3 linked regions of the Anolis sagrei genome follow. The protein of the gene in region 1 purifies or fractionates together with the protein of each later gene. This does not show direct contact. Links are inferred from orthologs where the notes say so. Each region holds a gene or a part of one and is shown in the gene's direction. Other genes may lie near its edges. The genes, in order: BACH1, MAFF and HMMR.

What was found.
Region 2: the proteins of BACH1 (region 1) and MAFF purify together in Homo sapiens (affinity purification with mass spectrometry; 3 studies listed by BioGRID and IntAct, counting the BioPlex papers as one, with this or other methods). This does not show direct contact. The link is inferred for Anolis sagrei from reciprocal best matches to the Homo sapiens genes BACH1 and MAFF.
Region 3: the proteins of BACH1 (region 1) and HMMR purify together in Homo sapiens (affinity purification with mass spectrometry; 6 studies listed by BioGRID and IntAct, counting the BioPlex papers as one, with this or other methods). This does not show direct contact. The link is inferred for Anolis sagrei from reciprocal best matches to the Homo sapiens genes BACH1 and HMMR.

Annotation. Positions count from the first base shown.
Region 1 is NC_090023.1:68,169,033-68,176,530, forward strand, and holds the start of BACH1 (transcription regulator protein BACH1), read left to right. Parts: upstream 1-4,440; 5' UTR 4,441-4,589; intron 4,590-7,498. UniProt on the Homo sapiens protein: Transcriptional regulator that acts as a repressor or activator, depending on the context. Binds to NF-E2 DNA binding sites. Plays important roles in coordinating transcription activation and repression by MAFK.
Region 2 is NC_090025.1:164,302,926-164,311,025, reverse strand, and holds the start of MAFF (transcription factor MafF), read left to right. Parts: upstream 1-5,087; 5' UTR 5,088-5,171; intron 5,172-8,100. UniProt on the Homo sapiens protein: Since they lack a putative transactivation domain, the small Mafs behave as transcriptional repressors when they dimerize among themselves.
Region 3 is NC_090022.1:109,445,619-109,452,919, reverse strand, and holds the start of HMMR (hyaluronan mediated motility receptor), read left to right. Parts: upstream 1-4,219; 5' UTR 4,220-4,311; coding exon 4,312-4,357; intron 4,358-6,568; exon of another isoform or gene 6,569-6,583; coding exon of another isoform or gene 6,584-6,611; intron 6,612-7,301. UniProt on the Homo sapiens protein: Receptor for hyaluronic acid (HA). Involved in cell motility. When hyaluronan binds to HMMR, the phosphorylation of a number of proteins, including PTK2/FAK1 occurs.

The DNA of each region.
Region 1 (7,498 bases):
CCCCCAATGTATTTCATCAGAGTGTTTGTTAATCAAGCTGGCCAATTGCAACATTGACACTTGCCTCAAACAGATAAGAGTTCTTTCTCCCATCCTGGACATTTAACAGATATATAAACCCCACTTGCCAACGCTATGTATAATTTGAGAGAGGATGGGATAGATGGCGGTTGAAGCACGGAAACTAATGGAAATACCTTATTTTTTCCTCTATTCAGTTAGAAAATAAAAATATACAAAACCACTTCCGATATTTAGAAATATAACTGGCATAAACCCAGAGCTAAGTTTTGGATCCAACTGAGAATATTTTGGTTTTTCACGGAAAGGGGTTAGAAATAAATACACTAATTACAGCAGAATCAAATGTCACTCCAAGAAAAACAGCTGAATTATTAATATTGCTCCTAATTAGCTCAAGCATATTTGTTTTCTACCAGTAGCAGCGTATTTCTGTCAAAGCAATATAAACTGATAAATTCTCACTAATGGAAACTGGAAGAAAGCCAGAGAAGCACAAGCTTCGTTTTCTACGCCAAATTTTGTGAATGAAACCAATCCTGGTAATGGAAAGCTTTATGAGAAATTTGGGAAATAATAATAATAATAATAATAATAATAATAATAATTTCTAGACCATCCTCTCTCCTCAAAGGGCAGTTTATATACATATAAAAAGGCAAATATTCAATGCCATAATTTAAAATCACACATCATCAGGAATGCAAAATGGACAGTAATAAACTAATTACCAGAAAATAATTAAGGTTAAAGTAATACGAAATACAGCTACTTAAATAAAACTTAAATAAAACATAATTACACTAATATAATATAATTTCACAAAAACAGAGGTTGAGGTTTCTGTTGGAAACTAGGCAAGTGGAGTGTATATGTCTGTGGAAAGTTCTGGGTGGGAGAAAGAACTCTTGTCGGCTTGAGGCAAGTGTTAATGTTTGGGCTCTGCCTCTCTTCATGATCGCATCTCCACCTATGAACCTGCACGGGCTAGAAGATCTGCCAGGGCCTTCTCAGTGGTGGCCCCCTGACTTTGGAACTCCCTCCCCAAAGAGATTAGGCAAGCTCCCACACTGTCCTCCTTCCATAGGGACCTCAAAACCTGGCTGGTTTTTGAGAATGATTAGTCTGTAGGCTCTGCACTTTATCCACTTCCCTGGCCCATGATACTCTATTGCATTAGCCCTTGCCCAGGCGTTTCATAGTGGGCCATGCCCATGTTGCAATTCTGGCCCAATGGTATTTTGAACTTGTCTGATAGAGTTATAAAGGTTTTTAAATTTTTGTGTTTGTTTTAGCAGAATTTTACGTTTGTTTTATGATGTTTATTTTAATTTGTTTGTATGGTTTTCCTTTCTGGCAAATGAATGTTTTGCCTTATGTTGGAAACCACCCTGAGTCCTCTTGGGGAGATAAGGTGGTATATAAATGAAGCTTTATTATTTTTATTATTTATTTATGACATTTATATATTATTATGTTATTATTATATTATATTTTATTATATTTATTTACTACATTTATAGGCCACCTTTCTCAGCCCTAAGGCGGGTTACAGATTGGCAACCATTCGATGCCATACAGTCATAAAAATACGATTAAAACAATTAGCATAATCATATAAAAACCATTACAATCATTAAATCATATAGTCACCAGTGTTGTCCTGTTAAAATCATTTTCCAATAGCATCTTCTAGCTATTCCATGTTCAGGTGGTTGTATGATAGCTGGGTCCCCCTGCTACAAGCATTACGCTGTTTCTGCAACACAGAATGGAACACGTTACTGAGACCGGGGGGGGGGGGGGGGGCAGTGAGAGACTGAGGTAATGTAAGCCAGGTCAGACACAGATAATAACAGATAATACTTAACTCTAACACTAACCCCTAACCCTAAAATGTAACCCTTACCCTCACCCTAACCCTAATCCCAACCCTTACCCTCCCCTCCTTACTATCCTTCCTTCAAATGCAACTGAAATGGCCACATTTCTGTATACGAACCCACACGATCTCTTCGATCATCTGGAGAGGCCCTGATCACGCTCCCGCCTCTTTCGCAGGAGCGATTGGTGGGGCCGAGGGAAAGGGCCTTCTCGGTGGTGGCCCCCCGACTCTGGAACTCACTTCCCAGAGACATCAGACATGCCCCATCTCTGGCAGTCTTTAGGAGGAGCTTGAAAATGTGGTTGTTCCAGTGTGCCTTCCCAGAATAAGGAAAACCCTCAGCATTATGTCCTCAAAATGCACTTTACTACTGCTTTAGGATTGACTGCATTCCCTCATTCTCTCTAAAAATCCTATTTATTTATTTATTTATTTATTTGATGCACTTATTAACCGCCATTCTCAGCCCTTACGGGCGACTCATGGCGGTGTACAGTACACATAAAAAGACAGTTACAAAGGCCAGTATCAACAACATATAACTATACGACAAATACAAACTACATAAAAATCCGCTTCGTCTCTTAGTAGAATCATAGCCAGTCTCATCTTCCTTATACCATTCCAGTTCTCATTACCGTAATGTTGTTGCTTACCACTTAATTAAATGCCCTCTCGAACAGCCAGGTCTTAAGGCTTTTTCGAAAGGACATGAGGGAGGGCGCCTGTCTGATGTGTGCCGGGAGAGTGTTCCACAGCCGGGGGGCCACCACCGAGAAGGCCCTCTCCCTCGTCCCCGCCAGCCGTGCCTGTGATGCAGGCGGGATCGAGAGAAGGGCCTCCCCAGACGATCTCAAGGTCCTCGTGGGCTCGTAGGCCAAGATGCGGTCAGAAAGGTATTTCTATCCCAATTATATCCTACCTGGTTCACATAAGCACTATTTTTTTAATTTAAATTTATCACATTTGGCCCGGCCTTTGGTTTTAAATGTTTATATGTTACTGTTGATTGCTTATTGTCTATTTTGTTTATGTGATTATGATTTATATTGCATTGATTGTTTATTGATGTTTATTTTATTGATGTTCTGTTTATTGATGTATTGCGGGCTTGGCCTCATGTAAGTCGCACCAAGTCCCTTGGGGAGATGGTAGCGGGGTACAAATAAAGTGTTATTATTATATTATAAAGTATATTCCCGCCCTCAGTGTCTCGCTCTCCCCACTCTCACTCCGGTTCCTCTCTCCACCATGCAATCCCTTCCCTTTGCGGCATCTGTGTAGCGCTCATAGCAGGGGGACCCAGCTATCATACAATCACCCATGTTCATTATTCATAGTTTCATGTTAACTATTCCACTGCATTTCCAAAAGCTTGCTTGAAGAGCCAAGTGTGTGTGTGTATAGATAGATAGATAGATGGATAGATAATGTTCGTTCGTGGGATTAACATAACTCAAAAACCACTGGATGCATTGACACCAAATTTGGGCACAATACACTTATGAGGCCAACGAGTGACCATCACTCATAAAAACACTGGAAAACATAGCGGAAGCAACTTAAAAGCCAAAAAAAGCAAAAATATGCAATAGCACATGCACACAAACGACTCCCCAGCAAACAAAACATATAATAGCATATCCACACCCTCTTCTGGATTACAGCTCCCAGCATCCCCTTGACCAGACCCTTTAGGAGAGGAGGATGATCCAAATGCACTAATTCCAAGGTGCAAGCTTTCTTCTCCTTACATTTCTTCGAGAGCATCCCAATCCCTGCATATCTCCAATTTCCTATTCCTGGACTGCAACTCCCAGCAATCCTCCAGATAGATTACATAGAGATAGGTAGGTGGCTAGATGGATCAGGAGGACTGCTGGGAGTTGCAGTCCAAGAATAGGTAGAGAAGGAAGAAAGGGGAGAAAGAGAAAAGGAAGGAAAAGGTGGGAGGAAGGGAGGGAGGAAGGAGAGAAGGAATGAGAGAAAAAAAGGGGAAAGAAAGAGGGAAGGAAAGAAGAGGAAGAGGGAGGGAAGGTTGGTCACAGCAACGTGTGGCGGGTACAGCTAGTATGTATGTGTATGTATATATATATATATATATATATACAAACATTTATATATTATGTTATTAATATATTATAATTATTATATTATTATGTTGTAATTGGCGACCATGATTAGCATTTGATGACCTTGCAGCTTCAAAGCCTGGCTGATCGTTTTGATGTGTTTGTACAGCCCGACACTGAGGCGCGGGAAACGCCTCATGCTGGGCAAACCTCCCTTTGGGCGCGAGAACCTTGAATCAAGCGCGCGCCACTGGCGAAGGGACGCTCGCGGGGAGACCTTCGGAGCAATGACGACGCGCCGCTCTATTACCTGAGAAAACGTGCGGGGGGGGGGGGGGGTAAGAAGAAGAGAGCGCGAGAGCGACGCATGCGCATCAAAACAGAAGGGGAAGGCGCCGCGTAGGGAGGAAAGAGGGAGAAAGTGGACGTCATCGGAATCCGGCGCCCAATGAGCGCGCAGGGGGCGGAGGCGGTTCTGAGGTGGTCACCTGACTGTGGTGGGTCGGGTGTTCGCGGCGCTGGCAGGATCCGCGGTCGAGCTGGCCCTGAGGGAAGGAGGTTGCATGGCCGGCGTTCCCGGGAAGGGCCGCGCGCTTATGGGCCCGAGGCGGGTGAGTGGGCGGGCGAGCGAAGAGGCCTCTCGCGCCGTGGGAGCCGGGTCTTGAGGGAGCAGGAGCGGGGAGGGAGGAGGGGAGGGGAGGAGAGTCCCATTGCGCATGCGCACATCCCAGGACTGGAGTCCCTGAGCCTGCGCTTGTTGCCTCCTTGCTTTGGGAAGGGAAGTCCCAGTCCAGGACTGGGGTGAAAGGGGGCGTATATTGGGCACGATAATGAGGACGTGTGGGGTGGTTTTCGTTGTGGGATATCCAAGGGTGTATCTACAGTGAAGAATTAATGGCTTCACTGCCATGGCTCATGGAAAATATAGATAGCTTTACCAGGTTTTTAGCCTTCTCTGACCAAGGGCCCCTCCACACAGCCAGAACATCAAGGCAGAATAACCCACAACATCTGCTTTGAACTGGGTTATCTGAGTCCACACTGCCATGTATATATATATATATATATATATAAATATAATATATTGTATATATATGTAATATTTATAATGTAGTACAATGTAATACTAATAATATATGATATTATAATTATATATTTCATATTGCATGTAATATTACTAATAATATTACAATGTAATGGTATAGTACAATATAGTGATATATAATACTGATACTGTACTATGCTAATAATATAATATATTGTGCATATATATATATATATATATATATAAAACTTGTAAGCCGCTCTGAGTCCTCTTTGGGGTTAGAAGAGCAGCATATAAATGTCGTAAATAAATAAATACATAAATTCCAGTTCAAACCAGATATTATGGGTTATTCCGCCTTGATATCCTTGGTTATAGGGCTGTGTGGAAGGGCCCCAAGAGTCCTGCTGCCCCAACAAACTACAGATCCCATAATTCCACAGCCATGGCAGTTAAAAGGATAATTGAACCTCATTAGAGCTACAATAGATACTCCCTACACGCTAAAGTTATCCCTTAAAGCAGGCCTGGGCAAACTTTGGCCCTCGAGGTGTTTGGACTTCAACTCCCATAATTCCTAATAGCCTGAGGCCCTTTCCTTTTCCCTCTCAGCTGCTTAAGAGTCCAAAACACCTGGAGAGCTCAAGTTTGCCCTGGCCTGCCTTAAAGGTTCTGGGGAATGAGTAATAATAATTACTCATTTCACAATCTGCCTTCCTTCCAAAGCCAATGTAAACAGCTGAAAAATCAGTCATTTTTAAAAATAATTACAATTTTAAAAATTGTTAAATTATCACCAGTTTATTATGACTAATAGAGTTTCAGTGCTAGTCCAGTCTGTTGTAGCATCTCGTTGTAGGGCTAGATTGCTATTAAAGAGACTTGTTTGGGGGAATCGACGGCCTTTGAGGTTATAGCAGCAAATGCAGCAAAGATTTTAAGGACTCATAAGATTCTTTTGGTGTATAATTTTGTGCCAGCTGGAAAAGTTTATGCCAAATAACACACACAGTGACATAAGACTCATTGCTGATATTGGTTCTGAAAAGAGTTTTGTGAGAAACAGATGTTGTTGTGGTAAACCTACAGGAAATCCTGTTGCCTGAGTGGTAGTTCAACCTACTTTTTAAAAATGAGATCTTGCTTATGTCGTTTTGCTTATATTACCTTGACATCTATTATAGTATCATTAACAGCATTATTTGCATGAAGTCATGTATGAAACGTGGAGTTTTAAAAGCTTTTTCACAAGTGTTGTCGAAATCTTTCATGGCTGGAATCACTGGGTTGCTGTGAGTTTTCTAGGCAGTATGGCCATGTTCCAAAAGCATTCTCTCCTGATGTTTCACCCACATCACCTCATCACACTAGAGAATGAATTCACTTTAAATCTGGTTGCTGCCTCCTGCAGAATTCTGGGGTTTAGGGAGGAGCCTTTAACAGCTTCACTAAACTACAAACCCCAGAATTCTGTAGGAGGCAGAAACCGGTTTTTATGTGGATTCATTTGCTAGTGTGATGACGTAGTATGACAGGCATCCTCAGAGGTTGTGAAGTTTGTTAGAAACAAGGCAAGTGGGTATATGGCTGTGGAATGCCCTTCCTAGGGATATTAGATCGGCCCCCTCCCTCTTAACATTTCGCAAAAAAGTTTAAACCTGGCTTTTTGAGCAGGCATTTGCAAACTCAATATAACAGGCAACGATAGACCAAGGTTGTAAGTTTATGAGGAAAAATGGCAAAATAACATCCCAAGCAATCCATTGTGCCCCTTTCCCTCATTCTGCCTTCTCTATTTTTCTATCCAGAGTGACAGAAAGTTCTAGCTCTGTCAAAATAGCTAAATAATCAACTGAATTTCTGATCCCTTACTCCCTTGATGTGAACTTTTGCCTCTCTGGATGCTGCCAAATTATACTGCAAGCTAAACATCTCCCATTTCAAGGCAAATGGATAAAATTGGAAATAAAGCTTGAATTTAAAATCTAATGAAAAAAATTTAGGCTTGTCTCAACTTTAGTTTTATGACTACAATGAAAACTTCAAAGGTTTTGTAATAAAGGATACCATTTGATTGCTGTAGTTTTGTTTGCTATAATGGTAACTTTATTGGCATAGTCTGATATATAAAAAGTAAAGTGATGTGTGTAACGCCCAGCTCTTCCTCATTGGGACATGCATTGTGTCTTATAGAGCATACAGTATATCTTAAACCCTGATCTGCTACACCTCCATTGTCTTTCTTCACAAGGCCATTAAATTCATTAGAACATATTCAGCTTGCTACCAGTGAGTAGGTTTTTAATTCTAGCAGAAGATTCTGTTCTGCTGTGAGGTCTGAAAGTTTTGAACATTTTTGAAAGACTCATAAGGATCAAGATGCTTTGGAAGTGCCTCTCAGGTTTAAGAAAAGAAATAGTTATATAGATAGAGATTAGAGTGTACACTTTGGAAGTGCTTAGGCTATTTCTAAAA
Region 2 (8,100 bases), on another chromosome or scaffold:
AATAAATAAATAAATAATCCTGGTTCAAAGCAGAAAATGTGGGATTTTATTCAGCTGTGTGGAAGGGTCCTAAGTCCACATTCAGACAATGTGGAATTTCCTGCTTTGATAGTCTGGGATATAGGGCTGTGTGGAAGGGCCGTCGATCTTCTCTGCCAAGGAGTTTGACACCACCTTAAGTTCTATGGATTCCTGGAAGTCGTAGTTTGAGTGAAGCAGCAGCACTGATCGGCGGAGGTGACTAAAGACCTTGCCCAGCTACAACTCCCAAGACTCCCAAGTCCATAGCATTGAGCCAAGGCAGTTAAAGTAGTATCAAACTGCATTAATTTGACAGAGTAGGTGTACCACTAGATTGCCCTTAACACACGAAATACCCCTAAAGGCACCAGATTGGATTGTACAAAGTTTGATCTGGAAGCGATAGTCTAAAAGTGGCAGGCTAAAATGCCAGCACGCCAATGCGCTAAATCAAGTAATAGATTTCTAAGATCTACAGAGACACTCGCAAGAACACCTCAGCAAGCAAGAATCCAAAAGTGGCAGCCTAAAACCCAGAACCTCAATCCATGGCTGATACCAAATGAAAGACTCCTCCCTGGGCACATGGAAGACTGGGCGACTTGGAAGGTGCTGAACAGATTGTGCTCCAGTACCATGACATGCAGAGCCAACCTTAAGAAATTAGGCCACAAAGCGGAGTCCACAACATGCAAGTGTGGAAGGGGCAAACCTACTACAATGCAACTTGAGCCCTGCCACATGCACAATGGAGGACCATCTTATAGCAACACCAGCTACTGGTCAAAGGACATTTAATATAATGCCAAGTTTTTAAAATTTGTGTTTTTTAAAATACATTACAACTGTACCCTTGGTTCACTCTAGATACAATAAAAAATATCAGATTGGATCTGATCTTAGAAGCTAATCAGGGCCAGCCCTGGATAGTATTTGCATGGGAGACCACCAACAAGTACCAGTTGCTATGGGCTATATTTCAGAGGAAGGAACTGGCAAAACCGTCCCTGAATATTGCTTTCCTAAGAAAAATAGGCAACTTGAACACGGAAACACAATATACGTCAGCCATCTGTTTACACCTGTATCAGCCTCGTTCTTTTTTTTAAAAAACTTGTGTTTACAAGTGGCACGACTATTTTAATCCTAATAACCATAGTCATTAGGGCTCAGATTATAGCTTCTGTTTTTAATGCACCTGCCTCAGGCAGCAGGTAAAGCTCAGCAGGGCTGTAACTGTGGCTCTTTTTAGACCAGCTAGTTAAGCTACTACTCATTTCCACACTGCAGTCCCATTTGAGAAGGCATGTTGCTATTGTGTAAGAGGGAAGCTGAGCTTTGAGGATATATATATATATATATATATATATATATATATATATATACACACACACACACACACACACACACACACACACTACCTGGCCTGCTTAGTATCAGTCAAGAGAACCAGCTAGGCCAGTTTCAAACCAGGTATTTTCTAGGGCTGTCCAGACCTGGGTGCAAAAGTATGGGAGACTAGATGTCTACCAAGATTGCCACTGATGCCATTCTTGAATCTAAATAGTGGACTGTTGCTCAAGGAGTCTCTGAGAACTATATTGGGGTACATCTACACTGTATAATTAATCCACTTTGACAACACTTTAAATGTTATGGAGCACTAGGAGTTGTAGTTTTACGTGGTCTTTCAGCCTTTCCTGAGGAATAGCGCTGGAGCTTCACCAAACTACAAAACCCAGGATTCCACAGCATTGAATCATGGCAAGTAAAGTGGGGTCAAACTGCATTAATTCTATAGGTAGATCAGACATAGGCAAACTTGGGCCCTCCAGGTGTTTTGGACTTCAACTCCCACATTTCCTAACAGACTACTGGCTGTTAGGAATTGTGGGAGTTGAAGTCCAAAACACCTGAAGGGCCCACGTTTGCCCATGTCTAGTTTAGATGCACCCTAATATGTCCTTGGACACTTTGTGTCACCTGTAGATTTCTGGCAACCCCATGCATTTTATAGGATTTTCCTAAGCAAGGAATACTTGGAGGTGGCTTTGTTAGTTTCCTCCTCAGACATATCATCTACAACCCTAAAGGTGCCGGATCCCATCTGATCTTGGAAGCTAAGCAGGCTTAGTCCTGGTTAGTACTTGGATGGGAGACCATTAACTAATACTAGGTGCTGTATGCGATATTTCAGGAAGGAAGTGGCAAAACCATCTCTGAGTATTCCTTGCCTAAGAAAAGTTCATGAAAGTGATGGGATTGCCCACACATAATCTGGGACATAAATATGAAAAGTAAATAAATACATGCACTGTGAATGACGTCTTTATTTTGATGATGGTAGTTATGTGTCCTACTTTATGGAAGACAATGAATACTCTTCCCTTTGAAGGTGCTCTTTATTTTACGGGTGTGGAACGATTGGCCCTGGAGGTGTTTGGGACTACAGTGCCTATCATCCTTATTGCTTTGCACGGTGGTTAGAGGTTTTGGGACCTGGAATCCAAAACATCTAGGATATGTTGAATATATATATATATATATATATATATGACACACACAAGAGTGTCTTTATACTACAGAGCAGGCATGGGCAAACTTCGGCCCTCCGGGTGTTTTGGACCAGCTGTAAGGAATTGTGGGAGTTGAAGTCCAACACATCTGGACTTCAACATTTTTGAAAAGTTTGATATATATTAATTGAGATATATATGTGTGAATTTGCAATTGTGTTTGTAACTATAACTGTATTTGTAATTGAAACCAAAGAAGAAAGAAAAAATGTGAAGAAATATTGTAACTGGTTTTGTAACAAATGATTTTGAAAATGTAAATATTGCAAACATTGTAAATACTGCAAAATTAAGTATGTCTCAATTGTAATTGTTAGTAAATGTGTTTGTAGTACATATTTATTATAATAAAATTACGTGTGTGTGTGTGTGTGGATAAAAATACTTATTTCCAAAACACCTGGAGGGCCGAAGTTTGTCCATGCCTGCTATAGAGCTAATGCAGGTAGACACCACTTAACTATCAGAGCTCAATGCTATGGAGTCCTGGGATTTGGTGACATTATTTTGCAGAGAAGGCTAAAGGCCTTGTAAAGTAGTGTCAGGCTGCATTAATTCTACAGAGCAGATGCAGTCCAGCTACAAGGTGTGCATTTGTTAGCCAGGGGCAGCCAGCAGAGCCCCGAAATTGCGCACCGGCAACTAACATCTGGACAGCAAGTACATAAGTCACCTACTCACCATTTCTCCCCACTGTGGTCCACCTATGTAAATATTTATGCTTTTGAATGTGCAAATTTTATGCAAATATGCAGTTTCTTTCGCCCTTCCTTTGATGTACTGTTTACATGCCACTTCAATCTTGACAATATAATTCATATACCAAGTTCTTGGGAACAGCAAGAACATGGGACTTAAACTTCCTTTTCCTTATTGCTTATCAAAGCTTGGGCATGTAAATGTTCCAGAAGAGCAACATCCACATGCCATTTTGGGTCAGTGCCCAGTAACCAGAATTACATGCCTAGAACTTACATTAAACATGCCTTTTATTTATATTATGTGTGTCATTTTGAACTATGGATGCATCTCCATTGTAGAATTAATACAGTTTGACACCACTTTAACTGCCATGGTTCAATGCTACGGAATCCTGAGAAATGTAGTTTCACAAGGGCCTTAGGCTTCTCTACTGAAGAGTTTGGTGACTCACCAAACTACGTTTTTAAACTGTTGTTGCAAGTACAGCAGTTTAAGATTGAAGGTGCATCCAGGGGCGGCTCAACCCATTATGCAAAGTAAGCATTTGCAGCATAGCTGATTTTGCCCAGGGGCGCTCTTGAGGTGCTCTTGGGGGAAAATAGACCTTGACATATGCGAGTTGTAGTTACTGGGATGTATAGTTCACCTACAATCAAAGAGCATTCTGAACTCCACCAATGATGGAATTGAACCAAATATGGCACACAGAACTCCCACGACGAACAGAAAATATATATCAGTGATTGGTTGGGGGGGGGGGGGGGGGCAAAATACTGTTTGCTTCCTGTTGAAAATTACCTAGGGCCGTCTCTGGGTGCATCTACACTGTAGAATCATAGAATCAAAGAGTTGGAAGAGACCTCAAGGGCCATCCAGTCCAACCCCCTGCCAAGAAGCAGGAATATTGCATTCAAATCACCCCTGACAGATGGCCATCCAGCCTCTGCTTAAAAGCTTCCAAAGAAGGAGCCTCCACCACACTCCGGGGCAGAGAGTTCCACTGCTGAACGGCTCTCACAGTCAGGAAGTTCTTCCTAATGTTCAGATGGAATCTCCTCTCTTGTAGTTTGAAGCCATTGTTCCGCGTCCTAGTCTCCAAGGAAGCAGAAAACAAGCTTGCTCCCTCCTCCCTGTGGCTTCCTCTCACATATTTATACATGGCTATCATATCCCCTCTCAGCCTTCTCTTCTTCAGGCTAAACGTGCCCAGCTCCTTAAGCTGTAGAATTAACCCAATTTGTCACCACTTTAACAACCATGCCTCAATGCTACAAAAGCATGGAAGCTGTAGTTTTACAAGGTTTTAAGCTGTCTCTGCCAAAAAAGTGCCATTCCTTTACCAAGCTACAATCCTCATGAGCCATAGCGATTGAAGTAGTGTCAAACTGTCCACACTGCCTTATATCCCAGTTCAAAGCAGATAATGTGGGATTTTATTCAGTTGTGTGGATGGTGCTGAAGATGGGAAGCAATACCAGCCCCAGCCGCACAACCTCGAGGTGCGTGTCCCTTTAAGAACCCCCATGCCCGGCTCCAAGATGGCGCCTGCCTTTGCCCTCTGCTCCGCCCGTGCCCTTCACTAAGATGGGGAGGGAGGGGAAAGAATGATGTCATCGCATGACTGTGTTTTTATGAATGAAAAGAATCCTGTGAGTGAGTAATTCCAGGAAACTCATATTACAACTCAGCAGATCGCTCAGCGCGCAGCCCAGCTCAGCCCTTTCTCGTCGCGGGGAAAACATCCACTTCGCGATTTTTGGGGTTTTTTGGTTGTTATTTATTTACAGAAACAAACCAGGAGAGCCCAGAAGGGGGAAAAGGAGGCAGAGGAGGGCAACGAGGAAGGAGGAGGAGGACAAGTCAACAAAAGAAGTGAGTAGATTGGTTTGTCACTCTGGAAGGGAAGGAAAGTTACAGCAGGAGGGACTTTTAACCCCAATGCCTTTTGCTAGACCATGAGGAGAGCAAGAGAGAGCCTGGAAAATATCTAAAAATAATATTTCTGCCCTTTGGTTGGATCAGGATGGCAGAGAGAGGCGAGAAAATGTCTTGTGTTTTGAGGAGTGGCTGGGGGTGGTTTCCTTCCCTTGTTCCAATCCGGGGCGTTTTGAAATAAGATGTATTTATTTAGATTGTTGTTGCTTATTGTTGTTTCCTTGGATCTTCCCAAAATCCACTCGGTTCCCTTTCCCTCCAGCCTTTCCCCACTGGTGTCTCGAGGGTGCTGCATTCACAAACAAACATAAAAATAGAGCAGGAAATCGCATAATAACAGAGGAGTTACTCATGGCTCCTGTTCACCATGTGGGTGCACGTGTTGAGGCCTGGGTCACATGGAGTCCTAGCTGGCTCCAGTTTCAAACTGGGGTTTAATGGGGGGGCTTATAAGGTTAGCGGCTGAGGGGGGAAAGGAAAGGGCCTGAGGCTGTGAGGAATGGTGGGAGTTGGAGTCCAAAACACCGTTTGCCCATGCCTGGTCTAAAGCAGTGGTTCTCAATCTGTGGGTCCCCAGATGTTTTGGCCTTCAACTCCCAGAAATCCCAGCCAGTTTACAGGCTGTTAGGATTTCTGGGAGTTGAAGGCCAAAACATCTGGGGACCCACAGGTTGAGAACCACTGGTCTAAAGGATTCTCAGACGAGCATCTGTCAGGAGGGCTTTGATTATGGCATTTGGGTTTCCCTTCCTTCCCTCTCTTGGGTTCTGACATCCATCCCTCCTTTAATGGGAGGGGGAACCCAATAGGGAAATGCCTTCACACAGGATCTATTTCTGCCCAAAGAATGGATCTATATCAGGCCCAAACAAATTTGGGCCCTCCAGGTGTTTTGGACTACCAACTCCCACTATTCCTAACAGCCTCAGACCCCATTATTTTCCCCTTCAGCCGCTTAAGAATGTCAGAATGTTGAGACTGGCCAATCAGAAACCATATACAAATTAGTAGGTCGAAATAGCTCATGCATGAGCCAACTTGGGCCCTCCAGGTGTTTTGGACTACAACTCCCACTATTCCTAACAGACTCAGACCCCTTTATTTTCCCCTTCAGCCGCTTAAGAATGTCAGAATGTTGAGACTGGCCAATCAGAAACTATATACAAATTAGTAGGTCGAGGTAGCTTATGCATGGGTCAACTTGGGTCCTCAAGGTGTTTTGGACTACAACTTCCAGCAATCCTAGCAGCCTCAGAACACTTTATTTTCCCCTTCAGCTGCTTAAAAATGTTAGAATTTTGAGACTGGCCAATCAGAAACCATATGCAAATTAGTAGGTCGAGATAGCACATACATAGGCCAACTTGGGCCCTCCAGGTGTTTTGGACTCCAACTCCCACCATTCCTAACAGCTTCAGATCCCTTTATTTCATAAAGAAAGTATTTATTATTATTATTATTATTATTATTATTATTTTACTGACACAAAATCACAGTATGGCACAGCAAACGAGATCTATATGCTGGATTTCGTATCACAAAATCACAAGTCAAACTTCCCAAGCGTCTAGGACTGTGTGATGTATATTATTATTATTATTATTATTATTATTACATAACATTAAGCCATGGCAGATAAAAAGGTATCAAACTGCACTAATTGTACAATATATAGATGCATCCTCAGTTAACAGGTGCTTACGGGGATTGATAGAAGCCGGATAAATGGATTCTCTAGTTGCTTGGGATTTGCTATTATAAATAAAAATAATACGTACTATACCATAAACCCTTGTCTTGACCTGATATTATTAATGAAATGCAGCAATTTAAAGCAAATTTATCTCAACTAAAAATAAAATTTCAGGCAAAAATATATACATATTAAATTTATTATTTCTTTGATTTTTTTGCCAGTTGTTTAAGATCTCTGGTTACTTGAATTTTGGTTAACCGAGAGTCTACTGTGTTTTAAAAAGCCACACTTAATGTCTAAAGTCCTGGGGGTCCAAATTTTTCTCTCTGGAAGCAAATTGGATGGGCCACTAGTTTCTTTGTTTTGGAGTCATAACTAATTGTCATAGTTGGGGTTCAGGAAGGAATCCAGCATGATATTGTGGTTTAGTTGGAGACCAGGATTCAAATCCCTAGTAGCGTGTAGAAACCCATTTTGTTGAGTCTTAGGGCGCCTCTACACTGTAGAATTAATGCAGTTTGACACTACATTAACTGCCATGGTGAAATGCTATGGAATCCTGGGACTTGTAGCTACACACAGCCAACTTCTGTTGTGCATCCCAGGGTCTGTAGTTTGAGCTATGACAGTTAACAAGGTGTGAAACTGCATTGACGCCAGTATAGATTTTTATTTATTGTATCAGAAGCAGATTGATGGTACACTGTGTAGAAAAACCACAAAGTTAAAAATTTGGCATCATACTAAATGTCCTTTGACCAGAAACTGGTCACTTGGAGTGCCTCTGGTGTCGCTGTGAGAAGGTCCTCCATTGTGCATGTGGCAGGGCTCAGGTTGCATTGTAGTAGGTGGTCTGTGCTTTGCTCTTCTCCACACTCGCATGTCACGGACTCCACGTTGTAGCCCCATTTTTTAAGGTGAGCTCTGCATCTCGTGGTGCCAGAGCGAGATGCAGCCTCAACAGGACGGAGACAGCAAACCCTTCTAAACCAATCTTGCCAATAAAACTGTGATAGGGTGCCTTTGGGTCACTATAAATTGCAAATGACTAGAAGGCATGAACAGCAACAACAAAAATAATCCCTTTAGGCCAAAACGTGCTGGAAATCTTGGAGCATTTGGTTGTTTTTGCCTGTTTCATGTGTAATACATGTATCACCTGTCCAGGTC
Region 3 (7,301 bases), on another chromosome or scaffold:
TAGTTCACCACCATGGTTCAAAACTGTGGAACAAATAGGACATTTAAAATGTATTATTGCATTTTTATGGTGTGCCTTGAAATCATTTCCAACTTATGGCAACCCTATAAGGGGAGTTCCTTATCAAAATTTAGCCAAATGGGTTTTCCCGTTGCCTTATCTTAGTCCTGCAGTGTAAAACTAATGTTTGACCCACCACTTTTAACTGCCATGGCTCAATACTATAGCCATATGGGAGCTGTAGTTTTAATAATGATAATAATAATAATAATAATTTTATTTCTTACCGCCCTCTCTACAAAATACACTACAAAATACACACACTAAATGTACCTCCATAAAAGCTACACACCAAAACTTATCTGTACAAAATACATATTAAAATACACAAAGCAGATCAAATAGGACACTTAAAAGTCATGCTTAAAGACTGTCTGTGTAGGCCTGCCTGAAGAGATAGGTCTACATGGTTTTTAAATTCTGACAGCCGATCTAGCTGTCAGAGCTCTAGCTGCAGGTTGTCCATAGTCTTTGGTGCGGCTGATGAAAAAGTTCTCTGAGTGGTGGTTGCCAGTCGGGTCCTGGCAGGCTGAAGCAGATGCCCCCCAGAAGACTAAAGTGTGTGGGGTGGGTTGCATGTGAGAAGGCAATCCTTTAATAACCTGGACCAAAACCATGTAGGGCTTTAAAGGTCAAAACCAAACACTTTGCACTTCGCCTTGGGGTGGCTGATAAAAGGTCCTCTGGGTGTTGGTTGCCAGTTGGGTTCTGGTTGGTTTTACAAGGTCTTTAGCCTTCTCTGGCACGGAGTGCCTTGCAAAATTCCAAATCCGGGGACTCCATGTGGTTGAGCCATGGTAGTTAGAGTGACACTTTAGTGGTGTCACACTACATTTAATCCTGTACTGTAGATCCACCCCCAAAACAGAGGTGTCAGTCATGAACCCATTGAATGAATATTTATTTATTTATTTATTTACAGTATTTATAGCCCGTCTTTCTCAGCCATATGGCAACTTAAGGCGGGTTACAGAATGGCACAATTCGCTGTCACATTCACATTAAGTAGAAACAACTGGTTCTTCTCTTGAAGTATAAAACAAAGTCTTTGTGTGAGTAAATGTCCTGTTTTTTATTACATATGAGTAGACTCCAGAAGTCACATGAATCGACTCCAACCTGCGACCGGTATTGACTCACAAGAGCCTTCGTCAGGCGGTTGGGTCTACAAACAACACATATCATGAATACACACATACAATTGAACAATTTGTTATATCAAGTTTGTAAGAATATATACAGACACTCCACTTACTCAAATTATCACAAAAAGCTCAGCTTTTGAGGTGAGAAATTCACCAACAGTCTTCTGGAGGGGTGGATCCTAAGGAGACATAGACAGTGGCTAATAGGGCTGGGCGGTTTCGTTTTGTAATTTCGTAATTCGTTAAAAATTCGTTTTTTTATAACGAAGCGATTTTGAACCATTCAGGAGCATCTAAAAAACGAAACGAATTTTTCAATTCGTTTCGTAATTGCTTCGTATTCGTTTCGTATTCGTTTCGAAATCTTTTCGAAATTGTTTCGTTATTATTTCCACATGTCTGGGGCAAGTTTTATAGCTGTTGTTTGTTTAATCAGTGGAAAAAAATTATAAATATCACACCAACAGTCAACAACAGAGGGAGAGGAAAGCTTCAAAAGTTCCCCCTGTCCCATATGGAGGTTTTTTAGCGTATTGCGCAGTCGCGTCCGCCATTAACGAATCGATTCGTATTCGTTTCAAAATCGTTTCGTAATTATTTCGTAATTTACGAAATTTCATAAATATAAAAAAAAAATTAAGGAAAATTTCGGAATTAATTTAAAAATCGAAACGCAAAAACCCCCTAAAAACGAATCGAGTTTAGAAACAAATTTTTCCGTGGTTGCCCAGCCCTAGTGGCTAAAGGTAATATTACATTGTAACGTGAATTATAAACTATACAGTGGAGCTGACACAACAGAGGAGTAGTGTGTTCCCTGGGCACCGCTCCTGTTAGTAACTTGGCTGCCAGTCTTTGGCCATTTGAAGCTTCCGAACAGTGTGTGTGTGTGTGTCTTGAGGAGTGTCAAAGCAAACTCGACCTGCTTAGACATACATTTTAACACAAGCCCTCATTTGAAAATATATATATCTATATAAATAAAAATGTAATGTTAGTTTGTGGGATTGACATAATGCAAAAACCACCGGATGAATTGACACCAAATTTGGACACAATACGCCTATCATTCCAATTAGTGACCATCACTCATAAAAATACTGAAAAACACAGCGGAAGGGACTTAAAAAGCCAAAAAAGCAAATAGACACTACAGTGAATATGCAAAAATGACTCCCCTGGCAAACAAAACAATAGCATATCCACACTCTATTTTGGACAACTGCTCCGAGCTTCCAGCATCTCCTAGACCAGGCCCTTTAGGAGAGGAGGATGATCCAAATGCACTGCTTTCAAGATGCAAGCTTTCTTCTCCTTGGATCTCTTTGAGAGTATCCCAATCCCTACATATTTCCAATTTCCTATGAAACTCCCGGCAATCCTCCAGATAGATAGATTAGATAACATAGATCAATCGATCAAGAGGACTGCTGGGAGTTGCAGTCCAAGAATAGGTAGAGAAGGAAGAAAGGGAGAAGGGAAGAGGAAGAGAAGGAAGGAAGGAGAGAGAAAAAGAAAAAAAGGGAAGGAAGGAGAGAAAGAGAAAGGAGAGAAAGAGGGAGGGAAGATTGTTCACAACAACGCGTGGCAAGTACAGCTAGTATATTTATATAAATAAAAATGTAATGTTCGTTTGTGGGATTAACATAATGCAAAAAACACTGGACAAAGTGCTGCGAAATTTAGCCACAAGACACCTACTCACCCAAGGAGTGACCATCACTTAAAAAATTGATTTTGTCAATTTATAGTTAACCTACAATCCAGGCCCATAGCCAGGATTTCGTTTGGGGGGGGGGGCTGATTTTTTTCAGGGGGGGTTGGGGGGGGCTGAGTTTCAGGGGGGGGGGGTGTGATTCTGAGTGAAAGAGGGTCTAGCCTAGCAAACCTTTTGTATCATTACCCCAATACTTCCATGCATATGGGATATATTGAGTATGGTGATCAGATCATGATATGAATAAACATAACAGTTTAAATAATGCAGCAGTAAGGCCTTTTCGTGAACCACCATGAGAATTTCAGGCTGAAGCCCCTCAAGCCCCCCCCCCCCCCCTTCTACATGCCTGCTACAATCAAAGAGCTTTCTAAACTTCACCAACGATAGCATTGAACTAAACGCGGCACACTCCCATGACCAACAGAAAACATTGGAAGGGTTTGGTGGCATGGACCTTGAGTTTCGGAGTTGCAGTTCACCTATATCCAGAGAGCACTGTGGACTCAAACAATGATGAATCTAGACCAAACTTGGCACGAATACTCAAGATGCCCAAATGTGAACACTGACGGAGTTTGGGGAAAATAACATTGACATTTGGGAGCTGTAGTTGCTGGGATTTATAGTTCACCCACAATCAAAGAGCATTCTGAACCCACAGATTTGGGGCAAACATTCCACACAGAACCCCCATGACCAACAGAAAATACTTAAGGCCATGCAGTCCAACTCCCTTCACCAGGGAAAGAAAACATAATCAAAGCCCTCCTGACAAAGAGCCATACAGCCATAGATATAGAGAGATAGATTGATAGATATGGTTCACACACACAGAGACTGTATAGATTTGAAAGGGACCCCTAAAGAAGGACAATTTGCATATTCCAGAGTAGGCAAACCAGACAATCTCCACATCAACACTGACAAAGAAACAGCAAGAAATATTGTTTACCCACAAGCAGAAAGAAAATACATATTTTAGAAACCAACACTTTCTCATTACTTTATTTTCCATATCAACAGACTGGGCCACAGCAACGCGTGGCAAGGGTTAAATGAGGGTTCTTGTTAAAATTAATTTCTAAGCAGGTGGAGGTTGATTGGACACCCCTCAAGGCGGCACCCTACTCCCTCCCTCTTCTAGGCAAAAACAACACACGGCACGCCCCGAAACCTCACGCCAAGCTGGAGAAGAGGGTACCGCCTCACTTCCGCAGTTCCCTATTGCGCATGCTCCAGGGCTAACCTCTGATTTGCGGAGCGTGCCGCCGCTTGAGCTTTCGGATTGGTTGGTTGGGCCCACTTAAGAGAAGGAGGCGGCAGTGTGGCTTTTTGAAATCCGTTCTCTCTGCTCCGCGGGCCCCACCTGGCTGGCCTGGCCCCGGCATGTCCTTCCCCAGGGCCCCGCTCCGCCGCTTCAACGAGGCTCCCGGTAAGCCAGCGGGGCTTCTGTTCCCTCGCCTTCAGAAGGGGAAACGCTGGGCAAGACGTTGCTGCCGGGTGCGTCTACGCTGCAAAATTAAGTCAGTTTAACATCACTTGAACGCTATGGAAAGGCACCAGCACTCTTTGGCAGAGAAGCGTGAAGGCCTTGTGCAACCATAACTCCCAGGGTTCCGTAGCATTGAGCCCATGGCCGTTCAAGTGGTGTCAAACTGCATTAATGCTACAGTGTAGCAGACCCACCTGCGGTCTCTGTAGGTTTGTGTCCCGCCCAAGCCATATAACACTGCCTGAAATAGTGGCCTCGCTTGAGGGGTGAGTCTTACCCTGCTTTCCTCCTAATACAGAAATAGATACAGATATTATTATTATTCTACATTTATACCCCGCCCATCTCACCTCAGTAGGGGACTCAGGGCGGCTTACAATCCATGGCATACAATGCCACATTACACATATAATAATAAACAAAACATATCAGTTTAAACAATTAACATATCAATTCAAGCATACAATAATAAACATGGTATAATAATTTATTTATTTATTTATTTATTTTATTTGCTTTATAATGTAAATATAAATACAATAAAAAGCTTAGAAGTAATTCAAATAGAAATACGATAAAAAAGCTTAAAAGTAAACATACAATAATTTAAATATAAATACCAAAAAAGCTTAAAAGTAAAAGTAATATGCCGGGTGTTTCAAAGCAAGTATATTTCACCCTCTTACAATTACACAACAAAGTTACAAACGGTTTAATGAATTATTATTTACTAACTCCACTGCTGTTGTTGGATGATTCAGCTGTATGCCATTTTGAGAATAGCTGACCTTGCCATCTTGCAAATGACAGGCTTGGGGCAGTCAGTGCGCTGGGAAAAGCATCAAGCCGTCATTATTTGAAACTCTGTGCCCAGCCCTTTGAAGGGGTAAGGTAATATGTTTGTGACACTATTTTCCCTTGCCACTGTAAATAATAGATTTTGGTCTTGAAAGTAAATCCCAGTGTTGTGTCCAACTCTGGGGGTTGGTGCTCATCTCCATTTCTAAGCCGAAAAGGCAGCATTGTCCCTCCAAGGTCAGCATGACTGCCTGGAGCACTGTTACCATTTTCCAAAATACCACCATGCCTAAAAAAGGCAATAGTGAGACCTATGTTGAAGAAGTCCCTAGAATCCATGGTTTTGAATAACTACTGGCTAATTTCTAATCTTAACAAACACAAATCTTCTACAAGTCGTAGTACATAAATCACAAAGGAAAATGTTTTTTTCCAGCTTATATAATACAATATTAAATGTATAACCAACTTATATGATGCAGCATTGAGCAATATACCATGAACAAAAAACTTGTTTATAATATAATAATAATAATAATAATAATAATACTATTTGTACCCCGCTACCATCTCCCCAAGGGACTCAGTGTGGCTTACATGAGGCAAAGCCCACAGCACATCAATAAACAAAGGCAATAACAAATAATCAATACAAAACAGTTAAAATAAAACTCAAAAACAAAAAATACACAATAAACAATAACAATAACATACAGCATTTAAAAACCTATGGCCGGGTCAAATGTAATAATTAAAATTTAAAATGCTGGGCATTAACAAGGTAGGGTAAACTAGGATAGGGTTTTCAAAGAAAGTTGAGGGCGCGCAGACAATCCTAAATCAATATTAAAGTGCATTTGAGGACATATTGCTTAGAGTTTTCCTTATTCTGGAAGGCACACTGGAACAACCATGTTTTCAGGCTCCTCCTAAACACAGCCAGCGCTGGGGCATGTCTAATGTCCTTAAAGAGTGAATTCCAGAGTCGAACGACCACCACCGAGAAGGCCCTCTCCCTCGTCCCTACCAATCATGCCTGCGAAGGAGGTGGGAGTGTGAGCAGGGCCTCTCCAGATGATCGAAGAGATCGTGTGGGTTCGTACACAGTGATTTTACATCAGTAACAAGAGTAGAGTCTTTCTTGCTGTAAAGCAGACTTCTCTTAAGGGCATAAGATCCCTTACTTTAGAGAAAGATACTCTTGAGTGGAGTTTCCAGTCCCTTGTAAGAGGATATCCATGTAGAAGATTTCCAGACCGGTTTCGACTAACGTCTTCCTCAGGTGGAGAAATGTGAAGAGTACAATGAAGTGGACATCAAGTTCTCAAAAATAATAATTCTTCCTCGGGTGGATAAGAATACAATGAAATGGTGGATCTAAAGATAATATACACAGGTGGCTAGAACATGTCCCAAAAGGGATAAATATTTCCAAATGTTGTTAACATGTAACGCGTATATACCATAATTTCTAATCTTCCCTTCCTGGGCAAAGTTCTAGAGTGAGTGACGGCTTCTCGGCTCCAGGAATTCTTGGGTGATACTGATTATCTTGATTCATCGCAGTCCGGTTTTAGGCCTGGCTATGGTACGGAGACGGCTTTGGCCGCCTTGGTGGATGACCTCCACAGAGAGCTAGCCAGGAGGAGTGTGCTCTTGATGATTCTCCTGGACATCTCAGTGGCTTTTGATACCATTTACCATGTTATCCTTCTAGGGCAACTCTCCGGAAAGGGTCTTGGGGGGCATTACTTTGCAGTGGCTCCGTACCTTCTTGGAGGATTGCATCCAGTTGGTGAAGCTGGGGGACACCTGCTCAGACAACTGGCCATTGACTTGTGGGGTCCCACAAGGTTATATTCTATCTCCCATGCTTTTAAATATCTACATGAAACCACTGGGTGAGGTCATCCAGAGGTTTGGTGTTCAATGCCATCTGTACGCAGAGGACACTCAATTCTACTACTCCTTTCCACCAAATTCCAAGGAAGGCACCTGGATCCTGAAACAGTGCCTGGCAGCTGTGATGGACTGGAAGAGGGTTAACAAGTTGAAGCTTAATCCAGAGAAGACTAAGGTCCTCCTG